2 linked regions of the Lytechinus pictus genome follow. The protein of the gene in region 1 purifies or fractionates together with the protein of each later gene. This does not show direct contact. Links are inferred from orthologs where the notes say so. Each region holds a gene or a part of one and is shown in the gene's direction. Other genes may lie near its edges.

What was found. Proteins that work in one complex are often made in the same cells at the same time.
Region 2: the proteins of mitochondrial carrier homolog 2-like (region 1) and OCIA domain-containing protein 1-like purify together in Homo sapiens (affinity purification with mass spectrometry; 3 studies listed by BioGRID and IntAct, with this or other methods). This does not show direct contact. The link is inferred for Lytechinus pictus from reciprocal best matches to the Homo sapiens genes MTCH2 and OCIAD1.

Annotation. Positions count from the first base shown.
Region 1 is NW_026974141.1:12,878,957-12,886,574, forward strand, and holds the start of mitochondrial carrier homolog 2-like, read left to right. Parts: upstream 1-4,589; 5' UTR 4,590-4,675; coding exon 4,676-4,771; intron 4,772-6,606; coding exon 6,607-6,691; intron 6,692-7,618. UniProt on the Homo sapiens protein: Protein insertase that mediates insertion of transmembrane proteins into the mitochondrial outer membrane. Catalyzes insertion of proteins with alpha-helical transmembrane regions, such as signal-anchored, tail-anchored and multi-pass membrane proteins.
Region 2 is NC_087259.1:24,749,865-24,757,682, reverse strand, and holds the start of OCIA domain-containing protein 1-like, read left to right. Parts: upstream 1-4,798; 5' UTR 4,799-4,976; intron 4,977-7,265; 5' UTR 7,266-7,273; coding exon 7,274-7,818. UniProt on the Homo sapiens protein: Maintains stem cell potency. Increases STAT3 phosphorylation and controls ERK phosphorylation. May act as a scaffold, increasing STAT3 recruitment onto endosomes. Involved in integrin-mediated cancer cell adhesion and colony formation in ovarian cancer.

The DNA of each region.
Region 1 (7,618 bases):
ATACTTGTTTAGGGTGCATTTCGAGACCCCATGGTCGCGCATGGTATCCAATCGTCAATGGAAGTGCCCCCTGGGGTTCTTAAGTTATATCAATCCCTTCTCACTCTCCATTTTATACGGAGCCACTAAGGTAACATGTTTTTTTTCTTAACTCGTTACCACGAATTGTAACTTGTCCCCGCGTGGAGGTATTAAGTCGTGATATACTATTTAGTTATAATAAGTCGAGGGAACGAGTTATTATAAGTCGAGGCACCATGTAAGTCGATTGAACAAATTATATAAGTCGATGGAATTATATAAGTTGAGGAAATGAGTTATGAGACATGTAAGACGAGGGAACGAGTTAATATGAGTCGAGGCAACGAGGTATGTTAGTTGAGGGCAAGAGTTATATAAATCTGAGGGCATTGGCTATAAGCCGTGTGAATGAGATATATAAGTCGAAGGAAAGACTTTTTATAAGTTGAGGTAATGAGCTATGAAAGTCAATTGAACGAATTATTTAAGTCGAGGGATTGATATAAGCCGGGAACGAGTTATGTAAGTCGAGGGAACGAGTTACAAGTTTTACAAGTTGTAGTTATAAGTCGAGGAAACAGGTTTTAAGGAATGATTTACATTCGAGGAAATGAATTATAATCACTTTAGGCATGTTGGTGGTTCTGTATCATCGATTCCCTTCCCGAATTATCAATACAGTGCGTCCCACAAAAAACGAAACCGAGATTTATCGATGATTTATCATAACTTAATCACAAATACAATAGACAAATGACCTACCATTGTAAAGCTTAGAATCTCCTCTTTCATCTGAAATTCCTTAGATTATTTCTCATTCACGCATGACTGAGCAAAAACAATTTGAAGAAGGGATACCAAAAAGTCATTTGGCGGGCTGTATCTGGGTTTCAAAAAGAAAACCAAATTTTTATAAAGTTCAATATCTGCTCTTTAATTTGATACCTCAATTACAGAAAATGGTTAAGAAATAAAAAAGTTCTGGTTATTTGAAATAAGGCTTGAATTTCAATAATTTCATAAAATTAAGAGGTTCTACAGGCTAGCGTTCAAACTCACTTGACAGTCCGTTTTGTTGACGATCAGCCATGCATTAAGTCTTTTGTTAACCATCCGATTGCTTCTGTGGGAAACCGGTGAAAACACGTTTATTTAATGAAATTATGGAAATACAAGCATTGTTTCGAGGGAACATAACTTTTTTACTTCTTGACCATTTTTTGTGATCAAGCTATCAAATAAAGAGCAGATATTGAACTTTTTAGGCATGTGATTTTCTTTTTGAAATTCAGATACCCCCCGCCAAATGAGTTTTTGTTATCCTTTCTTCAAATTGTTTTTGCTCACTCATGCGTGAATGGGGGAAAATCTAAGTAATATCAGATGAAAGAGGAGATTCTAAGCTTTACATTGGTAGGTCATTTGTCTATTGTATTTGTGATTAAGTTATGATAAATCATCGCTTAATCTCGGTTTCGTTTTTTCTGGGACGCACTGTATAACCCCCTTTCCATTATACCGAGTTCCTTTAGGCATAGGCCTATAATTATCTCCATCATGTCCATGTCCCATTTTATTTCGGTTTATTTTCATTTTGTCCAGTGCCAATTCGTTCATTTGCCAACTCGTCTACTATTATTAATTTGGTCTACCATCAGTTCGTCCAATATCCACATGATCCATTTCGTCCACTCACCATTTTGTCTCATAACCAGTTGGTCTAATAGCCATTCAGTCCATACCATTTGGTCTAATTAGACTAAGTGTTAATAGGGCAAAATAAATTAAAATAAAACGAGGATTGGACCAAATGGTTATGAGACGAAATGGTCATAGACCAACTTGTGATTAGACGAAGTGATGATTGGACCAAAAAAATGATTATTGGACCAAAAGGTTGTTAGAAGAAATGTTGATGGACGGACTGGCATTAGACTAAATGAAGGTAGACCATGTGGTGAGTGGACGAGTTGACAGTAGACGAATTGACAATTTACCTTTTTCTTTCCTATGTCGCTGCTCCTCTCTTCCCCTCTCTTACTCCCCCCCTCCACTCTAAGTGACGTAAATATTGTACAATCTTAAGACAGAATGTTTGATTTAGTAAAATACCCTAAATGCCGAAAAATGGCACAATTTTTTTTCTGGAGTTTCTGCATTAATTATTGTATAATCAAAATAAATATACAACACACGAACATAATGAAATACATTACAATGTGACAACTTTATAATAGATCGGATATTACAAAGCTTAGACAAACGTAAAATATTGTAAGTACAAGGTATAGAAATTAAGTAAACTACAAAAAATGCACTTATTTAAAGAGCAATCGTCGACAACGCAGACAGATGCTCTGAAAATGAACATTTAATTTCAACACTTTTTTTTGCATTATGCTGAGTCCCCCCCCCCCCACAATATGGTTTCTTTCGGCTGTTATTATGGATAGGATGGTGTTTACTTATGGGCGGCACACGGGCGGATCCAGGATTTTCCAGGGGGGGGGGGCACAATTCGAGTCCCGATGAAAATTTGACAAGTAAAAAAGAAAAAAAAAGGGGGTTTTTACCTAAAATTTAAGGTCATTTCGTCAGCAAAAAATTTGAGAACCAACAAAAAAAGATAAAGTAAAAGAAATGTCCTCGCTTTCAAAAGAGCCGGGGGGGGGGCACACTTGGGTAAAAATGACATATCTACATTAAACATTTTGATTATGACTCTCAAAAGGGGGGGGGGGGCACGAGCCGGATGTCCCCCCCCCCCCCCTGGGTCCACCACACCAACAGTGGGCGGCAGCCCCGTGGGGGAAGGGGCGTCCCTCGAATTTTTTTAATGGGGAGATTGTCCTCCTTCGATTTTCAAAATAAAGCTAAGAAAATGTACTTAATATTACCCCTACCCAGCTAAAAGCAACTTTTAGCTCTTCAAGCAACCGATCGGGGAAAACTGTGGATGGAATTTTTCCTGCTTGCTGAGTAGCTGGCTCCGCCCCCCTCGAAACGGTAGGTTAGGGAGGAAAATTAATCAAAAACATATGCCTCCTCATCAGGATTGACAAAACGGAGGGGAAAATAAAAAGAAGGATTAAAAAAAATAAAAAAAAACAATAACACTTTTTTTTATGGTTGTGCACAACCGAGGGTGTGGGTGTGTGAGCGTGGGGGGGGGGGTGGTCCGTGAACATGGAGCATGGTTCCGTGGTTACTTAGTATTCCATTCATGTGCTTGTATTAAAAAAATTCTTCTGGATAATGATGATGAAATATGATGATGAAAAAGAGATGACCTAAAATGGATAATTGGCATTCTACACATTCGGCCAAGACACTGGTTGATCCACGTCCAACTCGGTAGACTCCTCCCTAAAACTCGGTACACAAGTTGTCGAAAAGGGGTCCACATCGCATATAGGCCATGACCAGGGACCATGCAGGCCTGTATAGGAAAGAGACAGGGGCGTATAAATGAGCCAGAAATTTCGAGGGGGCAAGATATGGCATATCGGGCCAAATTAAAGTTGCGAACAAGCGAAGCGAGCAAATTCATTTTATTACAAAACTTATATCCAATGACATAGTAATAATCAGAAAATAGTATTTCACCCTTTTCTCTTTCCTTGTCTTCCCTTTGCTCTTTTTTCTTTGATTGATTGCATTTATTCTTTTTCATTCCATAATTCAACAAAAGTTACAATCTAAAGCAAAACACAAAAATATAATATACAGAAATGAAAAAAAGGGAACCCACTGGAAAGCAAAGCTTTAGTATGGGTTCCCTGCATTAAATAGTTAAAGTATATTTTTGATCAATGAAATTCAAATCGTAAATTAAAAAGGTTTGTAAAATGAAAAAGAATACTAGTGGGGTCATGCTTTTTATGCCTACTCACTATGACACTATGTGACAATTAACAACAAAAATATCATATCATACCCATTCTTTGTCGTGAAAATTTTTGGCCAGGCAAGCGGCCCCAACTCCCCCCCCCCCCGGCTCCTGGTAGAGAGACTGGGAACATTATAGGAATAGAGACTGATCTGCCCTATTGTACCTAAACTCAACAAAGTGAACTTACTAACACACCTCTTTCTCTCTTTTATTTTTGAAGCGCATAGAGACATAATTTTTATTTTGTATGTGATATTCGCTATTATTATCATTATTGTTAGCTAGTTTGATAGACGAGGGAGAGAGAGAGAGAGAGGGATTTGAAATTGAATGATCATGATAGGCTTACCTATCATGGTGTCAACGGGCCGATTTTTGTGAATTTTCATGTCTTTTTTTAAAGGAGTTCTTAAAAGATTAGAGAAATAGCATAATTCCAGCTTGACTGAAAAAACTTGAAAACCCCAAATCTCAAAAGTAACAGATCACATCCAGTTAAAGGAAAAAAAAACTAAGCCAGAAGTCCCGATCAAGAATATTTTGTGCAAAAACAAGACTTAAAAAGAAGAAAGAGTTCCCGAAAGAGCTGATAAGGAGAGAAAACTGAATCATGGCAAATTTTACAACCTGAAAACTGCATAGGGCGAGTTTCGAAATTCATCTGTCCTTACCCGGTAATTCTATGGGCGAGTTGTTTCGGAATCGCAAAAAAAGTTAAAGTCCGCTGTTTTTGGTCGTTAATAATTCAGAAAGAGATAGAAAATGGCAGCTGTAAATGATCCATGGATGCAAATCGTGGCCAATATTGGTCTTGGAGCATTTAGCCACCCTATGGGATATGTGAAAACGTTGATTCAGGTAAGACAAGTGGCTTATTTCCAGTGACTAATGAGTACATCGCGTAATCCGTGCGGAGCCCGAGCAGTGCTGCTATTTTTAGCGGGCCGAGTGTTCATCTCCCCGCTGCACTAGGCGAGATCCTTAGTGTATGAAGGGGGTTCTCATGCCTTGGTTGCGCCGGTTGCGCAAAAAAATTAATTTATAACTTTAAGTTTATCATTGCATCTAATCATGAAGTCATTTAAATATTCCACAAGGGTTGATTTGTATTGTTGTTACATTCTAAAGAGTAAGTGTGCCCAAAATAAATCTTATCAAAATAGGATTAGGAATAGGATAGTAGGAGCAAAATACATGAATATCCAGGCCAGGGGCATGGCAGGGCCAATGGCATGCGAGGCAGGGGCACTTGGCTGATCCCGGAGATCTACAGTTGGTTGCTGCATAGACCAAAAGCTTCAGTCTCTGTATTTTGGTTGTTCCGCTGAACTACGTTGGCTCCACTCACCATACATAGACTGAAGGGGATGGGGCCCCGTACCTACACTCTACAGCCAACGTATAGTGAACTAGCGTTTTATAGATCGCGATTTATAACTGTTTTTTAAGCAAAATTGAAAGTTTCATGGTTTCCATTATCAGGGAAATATAAATAAATTAAGTAATTGCATACCTTGGGCCGGAGTTATTGAAAAAAATCCTCTGGATGATTGAGAAATCTGTCATCTAAGACATTTTCACCTGACCTGACGGTTTTTCTTGCAAGTTGCCATCTTGAATGACGTCATTATCGTTATTAACTTAATGTCTCGAATCGATATATCGCGATTATAACTAGAACTAGTACTAGTATAACTAGTATCGTTTATCTTCGGTTTCGTTCACATATGGAGCAGATCGTATAATATCGAAAGCAATATCGATATCACATTCGTGATTGTTGACGTTCGTTTGTAAATATTTTATAGTTTGGCTGCCATTTTGACCATTTTTATCGTGTTCAACCCAATTAAACATCGGTAAAGTATATTTTTCATGCCTTTTTCATCTATATCGTTTAAAGTATTCAAATGTTGGAATATCATGAATTAAAAGTTTGTTGTTTATACATCCTTAGATTGTAAATTCGATGTGTAAAATTACATCAAACTTTGGACTGTGAATTGACAAAAGGGAGGGAATGAGAACACATGCGAGCCCACACGTACCGTACACCCTACCGTCGGTAAATGGGGATTACAGTAAAATGTCAGAAATTGTTGAATAAATCCCCAGAAACGACGGTTATTCCTGTCTAGTTGCTGCATTGTTGAAAAAATAGAGTTATAAGAGCACAAAACACTTCCTCTCTCTTTAATTGTGTAAATGGGATACAACTTAATTTCCACCATTTATACAATATTTATTTCATTTTAAAGCAAGAATTTATTGAAAAAAAACAAGAAAAATATTGTAACTTTTGAAGGTTTCCATGGGTGTGGAAACGACGAACAACAACAACAACAACATTCCATGGCAAAGAAGAATAACGTTAGTGTAGTAGGTTTCACGGTACACCATGTATCTTTCTTGGGCAAGTGTTGGTCCTGAAAAGGACCACCCAGATTGGGTGGTCCTTTTCAGGACCAACACTTGCCTGAGAAAAATACTATGAAAAGATGGAAAAGTTGCCGCGATGTTTACTTCGCCATCTTGTTCTTTTTGATCTTCACCAAGCTACGAGACGCATATCAGAGGATATGCATCTGAATGAGATTTAAGATTTTAAGATGATTTTAAAAATTGCAAGTTTTATCGCAAATAGATAGGGTAAGCCCTATTTATCCTACTGATAATAATTTTTTTTTTTGCAGCTGGGTTATGAACCTCTTCCCCCTCGTTTAGGAAGGAATGCCTTCTTCAGAGAATGCTACCAGCTGCCAGGATTTTTTCCTTATGGTAAGAAAGACTTGGGACAATTCCAGCATGAAACAGTCCTAGGCCCCATCTTACAAAGAGTTACGATTGATCCAATCAATCGTAAATATGGAAATCCATCAGTGTCATAATTTTTCTCCAGGAAATTTGCAAAATGTCCTCTGTAAACAAAGGAGAACACACCAAATTATCAAGAAATCAATGAATTTATGGATGTACATTCATATCTGTAAGACGGGCCCCTGGGCCCCGTCTTATAGAGAGTTGCGATTGATCTGATCAATCGCAACTATGGAAAGCCAGCAAAGGCAACATATAAAATGCATGTTTGCTCAAAACTTTTTCTAGATATGAATGTATCCATAAATTCATTGATTTCTTGCCAATTTGGTGTGTTCTCCTTTGTTTACAAAGAACATTTTGCAAATTTCCTATAGAAAAAAATATGACACTGATGATCCAATCAATCGTAACTCTTTGTAAGACTGGGCCAGACAGTTTCAAAGTATTACACTTCGAAATTGACAAGTTATTCAGTTCTCGCAGAGTTTATCAGACACTCTGGCCCGTATTCTGAAGTCTTTAACTTAGACCACGGTCTAACTCTGTGCTAAAATTATGGGGAGCCAAAAATTCAAAAATTCTGTTTATACTAGATATCTCTTACGTTTACTATTTTGTTTCCTGTTGCTTTCATAATGAAGAAAAATACTTCAGTTATCATTCCCAGACAGTTATGAACAATTTGAGTGTCAAATTAGTTAATAAATTGGATGTATACTGTTTGGGATTTGTGCCCCAATTGGCTCTTCATAGTTAAACCACAACTTTAAACCAGGGCTTAATTTAAACCTGAGTTCAGAATACGGGCCTTTGAATTAAAAAAAAAAAAATTCTCACTTCTCACATATCACTGTAGTTAAATTTTTTGAGTATTTCGTTTCATGT
Region 2 (7,818 bases), on another chromosome or scaffold:
CGTTTTATCGTACCGTTTTTATGCGGTCCCCCAGACGGAGGCGGGCGCGGCCGGAGCGAACCCCCTCCCCAAAGCCCCTCCCCTTAATTGGCGGTGCAAAAAGGGGGTAGGGCCTATAATTATAGGCCCTGTCATAGAGAAAAAATGTATTTTTCATCTTTGTGGGGATGGGGGTACAATCACCTTTGCAGGTACTTTCATAATATTGCTACCCCCTTCTCTAGTTATGTTTTTAATGCTGTTTAGTGACCGTTACATTACAACTAAGCATTACAACGTAATGAGTCCCCTAAATTATTGGGGAGGGGGCAATGTGATGTATGCAAAATTTCAAAACTAGTCTCGAGAAAGCAAAGCGAGTGAGAAAAAATATGCCCCTATAGGCCTACCTATTTTCAATTCGAAAAGCTAATTTTGTGATAAATTTTTACAATATATTATTTTTATAGAGTATAATTTTCTTTCTCTTCTATCTTGGTTGTGGAACTTTTTTCTGAGAAGGCATGGCCCCAAGTCCCCATGCATCTATACGCCAGTGATCAATACTTTTGATCACGTCTAAGAACAGAACTTGCTACGATTTCAATTCTTTTCTTTTCATGTACCTGTTTCATAATCAAGAATGCGCGTTTGAAAGTTTCTTTCTTCACCCTATAAAATTCCCAAGCGAGCGAGAGAAAAAAATCACCTTTTCATTAGAACCTTACTTTTCCTTTCATATTCTTTTTCTCCTTTCTTTTTTTTGGGTTCTTATTGGACCGTAGAACTTACACCAGTGCTATGTGGATGGGGTTTGAGGCCGGGGGGGGGGGGGATACCACTGAACTGGAAATATTTCGTATTTCCAGTTCAGTGGGTGGTACTTGGATTATGATTGGACGGGAGTGTGAGGCTCGGGGCTTGAAACCCCTACCCGTAAGGGTCATTTGACCGTAAACAGGTTGCATGTCTAAGGACTTTTTCTCAGAATACAGACCCATGCCTAAGCATTTTTTTTTAATATAGACAAAATTTCCAAATTAATTCTGCCTTTTTTTAACCGTGAGACCATCGCATTAAAAATAAAAACACATTATGAAGTCTGATGTGACGTATTTCCGGGGACTTTTCCCGGGGATTCTCATAAATATTTTTTATCAGAAAAGAATTATTCAGTTGAAAAATAGAACCCATGGCTAAGGAGTTCCTGCAATAGCAAGACCCATGTCTAAGATTATTTTTTTTGCATAAAACGACCCACTGGAGCGGCACATCTCCGTATGCGATATACACGCAAGTACCCCCCCCCTCCCCCGGGGTTTATTATTAACAAGGGTTTGAGGGGCGGAGCCCCCGTCACCTTTCGACGTTCAGCCATTTTAAACCTTAAAGATGGTCGCTATTTTTGATAAAATCGCTTGCATATGTTTTATCCAACACTACACGCAGTAAACATTTTGAGGGGCACCACATGACAAATGTTGGAAATTTCAAAAACGTCGCGAACGAGAAAATTTTTGGCCTTTGAAATTCTTATTATGTTACTTAAAGGAGCATATCTAGCCATTGGCTAAGGGTATATGAAAAATGAATACATATGCATATTATGCATACATATACAGTGCGTCCCAAAAAAAACTATACACTTTTGAAATGGCTGCCAAATTAAAAAAAAAAATATCACTTTGGGGGGAAAGACTTATATAATTATATAGAAAGGCAATAAAGTAAACTTTCAAATGACACCAAAAAGTAGGAAAACTATTCATACTTGAGCGAGCGCTGCCCATTGAAACAAAGAGTATGAAAATTAAGCTGGGTCGGAATTAGCCTTCCAATTTCTTTCAGGTTTTTTTTTTGGAACTTGCAAAGTTGAGGGTTTTGTGATGAATTAATGATCAATTGTGATCAGTTTGTTGTTTGAGAGAATTTCATGATTTATTAAATTGAAATTTAATGCATGAGTGATCATGAATTGCAATTTTTAGTGCAGCATTTTTATTTATCATGTGCATGGATCGCAGCAATGTGTTCATGAGAGTCGGGAGAATAGGGGATAAGATAGGACTTAAGTAGGTAAAGTACGTTGATGGGATAAAGGTCAACAGAACATTTAGCAACCCCTCCCTCCATCTCTACCCCCTCCCCCGCTTCTCCCCCCCCCCCCCCCCTGAGAGACTATATAAGCTTAGCTGGGCAGGAATTAGCCTTACAGTTTTTTGAGAGGTTAGTTCTTTGGAACAAAGCTAAGGGCGTTATGCTAAATTAATGAGTGAGATAAGTTATGGTTTCTTAGGAAAATTTCACGAGTGACTAAATTGAAATTTAGTGCATGAGTGAACAGGAATTGTATTTTAGTGTAGCATATTCATCTTGTTGACCTCACCAGTGTGTTCGTGAGAGTCAGGGTAATGTGATGGTATACCCGTTATACAAGCAAGAGGTATGGTAGACTTCGTTAAATGGTAATTTCTCTTCTTTGTGTCCTTTTACAAATTAAAAGTCATAATTATGTATCCCCCTCCGCCTCCATTTTCCTGGCTCCTTCTCTCTCTCTCTCTCTCTCTCTCTCTCTCTCTCACTTCCTGGATTGTAGCCTATTAAAAAAAAATGAATGTTTGATTGATCACACTGCACATTGAATGAGTTTATTTATTGATAAATTGTTGATTAAATGATTGATAGGAATAAGTTGATGCCCCAATTCAGAATCTGGACTTCACGTGTACATGACAATAGCAATCAGTCTCTCAACAGGAGGGGAGGGCGGGAGAGAGGGGGAGGGGGCTACATGTTCTGTTGACCCTTATTCCGTCAACCTACTTCTCCCACTTAACTCCTATCTCACCCCCTATTCTCCCGACTACATTGCTGAGATCCACATGATAAAGTTGAAATGCTGCCCCAAAAAGTGTAATTGTGTTCACTCATGCATTAAAATTAAATTTGATAATTTATGAAATTTGCTTAAACAACCAAAACTGGTCACGGTTGGTCATTAATTTATCACAACACCCTTAAACTTTACAAGTTCCAAGGGATTTGCCTCTCAAAAACTGACAGAAATTGGAAGGCTAATTCCAGCCCAGCCTACTAATTTTCATACCCTTTGTTTCAGTTGGCAGTGCTCGCTCAAGCATGAATAGTTTTTCCAATTTTTGGGTGTCATTTGAAAGTTGACTTTATTTGCTTCCATAATGTGTAAGTGCTTTTCCCAAAAGTGATATATTTTTTTTATCAAAGCTGGAGGCCCGGGTTCGATTCCCGGCAGAGACATTTTTCGGCATCACCAATTTTTCCAAAGGGCAGCTCTGGGGAACCTTGATATGAAGCTACGCCTACCATTGTTCTCTTCATTCATTTCTTTCACAACATATTTGAATACAAATAGTTGCCAAAGCAGTTGTACATGTATAATGTCTCACATTTATATATATATATATAGGAAATGAAACCCAAGATAGCTTGTGCAAACTTTTTACAGAAAAATCAAACTCAGATAAACAAAAGTTTGAGAAAATTGAATGAAAAATAAGAAAGTTATGAGCATTTGAAAATAAGATCATTATTGTAATGTATAGATCCTCCCATTGGTAATGCGACAAAGATGTGTGATGCAATGTGAACAACTTTCCCATTACTATTAGTTTATATACCTCTATGATTTCACTTTAACTCTTTTATCACATCTATCAGTAGATCACACATTTTTCTAGAGGGAGGCATGTGTAGATTCTCAAATAATAGATTATGGATAAAAAGTTTGAATCACCCTAAGAAAAAGCAAAAATAGAGTTTCTGGGTATTTTATAGTCCATCAAAGGGAAAGTTGTTCACATGTGACGTCACAAATATTTGTCGTTTTGCCAATTGGAGGATCTCAATAGCATTAGTGATTACAATATTTAAATGCTCATAACTTTCTCAATATTTGTCCGATTTTTCTCAAACTTGCTTTCTTTGATTTTTTGTTTTCACAGAAGCCAACCTGTATCAAAGGTAATAGCAACACTATAACAGAAACTATCTATACCGAAATACGTTATTCCATTCTTTATTGCCGCTAATCCTCGGCAGCTCGTATGTTAGTCTTATATTCTTCTCTAATGTTTCTTTTTTTTTCTAATTCAGGTTTTCCCTCTATTAGTTCATTACATTCTACCTTCATTTCCGTTTTCCTCGTTAATTTCCCTTTCCCGTCATGAATTTCCGTTTCATTTTGTTATCTTTAGCTATTTATTTCCCTTTTCTCATTCATTTATTAGTATTTTGGGATGATTTTTTTCTTTCTCTGTATTCTTCTTTCATTCCGTTGAAACTTTCTTCCCTCTTTTTCTTCCTTTTTCCCATTATTTTTTCTTTCTTTCTTTATTTTGTTCTCCCTTTTCGGTTTTCCCGGTGATCCGCGGGTGGGGGGGGGGGGGGGGGGAGCCTGCCCCCTGCCCTCCCCCGCCTGTTACTCCATATTGTATCTATTTTCACGAACAGAAAAGAGATTTTAAAAACATGTGAATGTTTGCCATCAGTCGACTTATGAGGTGAAAAAAATAAGTGGCCAAAGAAAACATTGCATACGGGGAAATTTACGAAAAGTCGCCATATATGGTGCGAACCGGTGCGAAGCAATAAGCAAGCAAAAATTTTTGACCCCGCATTAGTTAGTCTGACATTATATTCAGAATATATTATGGTACAATATAATACTTCACACATTTGTTTTCCTTTTCTGCTCCTTCTCCCTTTTATTCTCAGTGGTGGAACTTTTGGAGGACCAGGGGCCTATAGGGTACAGTGCCCTAATAGTCCCGCTAATAGTACAGGCCTAACGTGTATTTATCGCCAGTGATCTAGATCTAGAATAATTTCTAGAAAAATTATACAACATACCGTACTTTGGATTTCACAGATACCGTATCGAAACTCGACTGTGTCTTGAAAAGTCGATTTCGATATGGATTAGTTAGGTGTTTTTCAGATGATCTAAGGACGATAAATAGGTAATTATCCAATGGGCAGAGAAAGAAATATCTTGGCATTAGAATGGGGAAAAACTATCGTAAATTCAAGAATGTGAGGGATGATCCCGGCGCGAGTTACCGTAGCGTAGGCGGTGCGGTACCATACCGGATCCATGGACCATTGCATTACCAGCGCGCGCGAGACTGAAGCTCTAAAGCTAAAGGGGATTTATCACGTTTCCGTGACTTTCCGTGACCTACTTTAAAGTTTGATTTGAACTTCAAAGAAAGTCTTTTTTAGTTTGATGACAGGACTAAAAATATTGTTCAAACAGAGCTGGAATTTGTGCAGTACCCTTGTATGTAAGGTTTGATCAGTTAGATTTTGGAAGTGGAACCCAGGGGCCCGTTTCTCAACACATGGACAAGTTAGTCATATCTTTATCCACCAACCACGGAGTTAGTTCCAATCTTACTAAACCTGTTTCTCGAAAGGTTTCCTAATTAGAATACCTTGATATCGATACTATCGGTAGAAAGTGCAGACGAGACGTAGCCTTAGTCACAAAATAGCATAATAGTCAAAAAGAAAAATTATGACAAAATTGCAAATGTTGTGATAAATTGGGAAATAAATCTTTTCAAAATAATAGCACAGGTGAATTATGCATCATACATACTTAGACCATGAAGACTTGAGCATTCAATTGCAGAGAAAATTAAATTATGAATAATTCATTTCATGACTAAAAAATCACTGGTGGACGTTGAGATTGGGTACCCCCGGGATATCCAATTTTAATAGTTTACGAAAGTAAACCATAACGGTTTTCTTTGTAAAATGATGATAATTATGCGGTCTTTTACGATTCCGAACGTCATCAAAATATAGTTCAACGAAACATTTTTAACCATTGATACCGAAACATACGATATTTGACAAATTATATGCATAAATTAGAGATATAATTTATCCAACTGTTAATAGGGGTCTGAAAACAACAAATACGAGTTCAGTTATGGATGGCCTGACGTGGTAGAATATTTATCGATTAAATCATTTTACTATTTCAAAATGAATGGTTTTGTGGCGTTTTACCAATAGTTTTTATAGTTTCTTTGTATTACAATTATCATTGAATGCATTAACCCACTTGTTTTATGATGTAATTTCAACCTCTATGATTTATTACGTAAGATTATAATTTTAAAATTTCTATGCGCTTTTGCATGTCATAGTCTACCCACGTGATGCCACTACGTCATTAAGAAAGAAGTTATGACAGGTTCGGAGCTGTCATAAATATTTAGTGAGGTTGTTGTACCCGATCTTGGTAAAGAGGGCTTCGTGAAACGGTTAGCGGACAAGTAGCTCACTATCTCCGATTTAGTCAAGAAGTTAGACTTATGACGGTGTTGAGAAACGGGCCCCAGTTTATCATTTTTTTAAAAGAAAGTTCAGAACAAAAAAATATTGCAGAAAATCTTGGCAATGTCAACTCTTTGCTTAAAGGAGAATGAAACTCTTGGAGCAAGTTAGCTTTTGTGAAAGCAGAAAAATCAAAGAATAAGATCAACAAAATTTTGAGTAAAATAGGACTAGCAATAGAAGACTGAGAGTTATGAGCATTTGAATGTCGAGATCACTAATGCTATGGACTAAATGGAGATCCTCCTATTGGCAATGCGACCAAGATCTATGATGTCACAGATGAACAACTCTCCCCTTTTGGACACTGAAAATATACCCCAAAACATCTCTTTTTGTTCATTCTAATCATATGACAAACGATTCATCAATGATATAATGTTGTGAAACCTCTGTACTTGTCCTCTCATAAAGAGAACATCTCACCTTGTGATAGACTCTATAAAAGTGAAAATATAAGTGAAATAAGTACTAAAGTAATGAGGGAGTTGTATGTGTGTGACATCACAGATCTCGGTCGCATTGCCAATGGGAGGATCTACATGGCATTAGTGATCTCAATATTCAAATGCTCGTAACTTTCTTATTATTCATTCAATCTTCCTCCAACTTTCAACAATATGTTTCTTTGATTTTTCTCTTTGATATGGATTCAGCTGGTTTCAAGTGTTTCATTCTCCTTTAACCTCTTCCTGTCCTACAAAATATCTTTTGAATTTCACACTTTTTAATTTTCATTGAAAGAAAATTATCATTACTTAAGGGGTACGATCTATGATGCAACCTCACACCGTAGACTTAGTGTGACGTGAGTCTGACTGAGTGTGTACATGTAGATCTCAACTTCAGAGTTATTATCTTAATAATTGGTGAAAGTTTCTTTTTATTCTGCCTTTCAGATTAAACCATGGCAAAATATTCAGACAACACACCTGAGAATCCATCTCCTGTCGATGCAACCATTCAACAACAGATGAAGGAAGGTCGCTACCAGTTCACAGACGAGGAAAAGCGGGCTTTGCGAGAATGTCGATTTGAGAGTTTTTGGTACAGTTCCTTTCCTATTGCTGCTGTGTCTGGACTGTCAACACACATGCTTGTGCAGAGAGGAGTCCTGAACCCTAGCAAACGCTTTGGTTCCATCCCAAAGGCGGTGTTTGCCACTATGTGTGGCTACATCTTTGGCAAGATGCTCTATGTTCAGAAGTGCCGTGAGAAGTTCCTGAAGCTTGAAAACTCCCCCTTTGCAGAGATGATGAGGAGGGGTAGAGGGGGCATGCCACCTGCTGAGTTTGGCGGGATGAGTATACCTGGGTATGGAACTGGAAGCAACCCACCTGTAGAGGAAGAACTTTCTGTCGATGATAACTTCCGACCAGACACACCTTGGAGTGGAGGACACGACCAGAGATTGAACATGGATATAGATACCAGTCAAGTCAAGGGAATAAA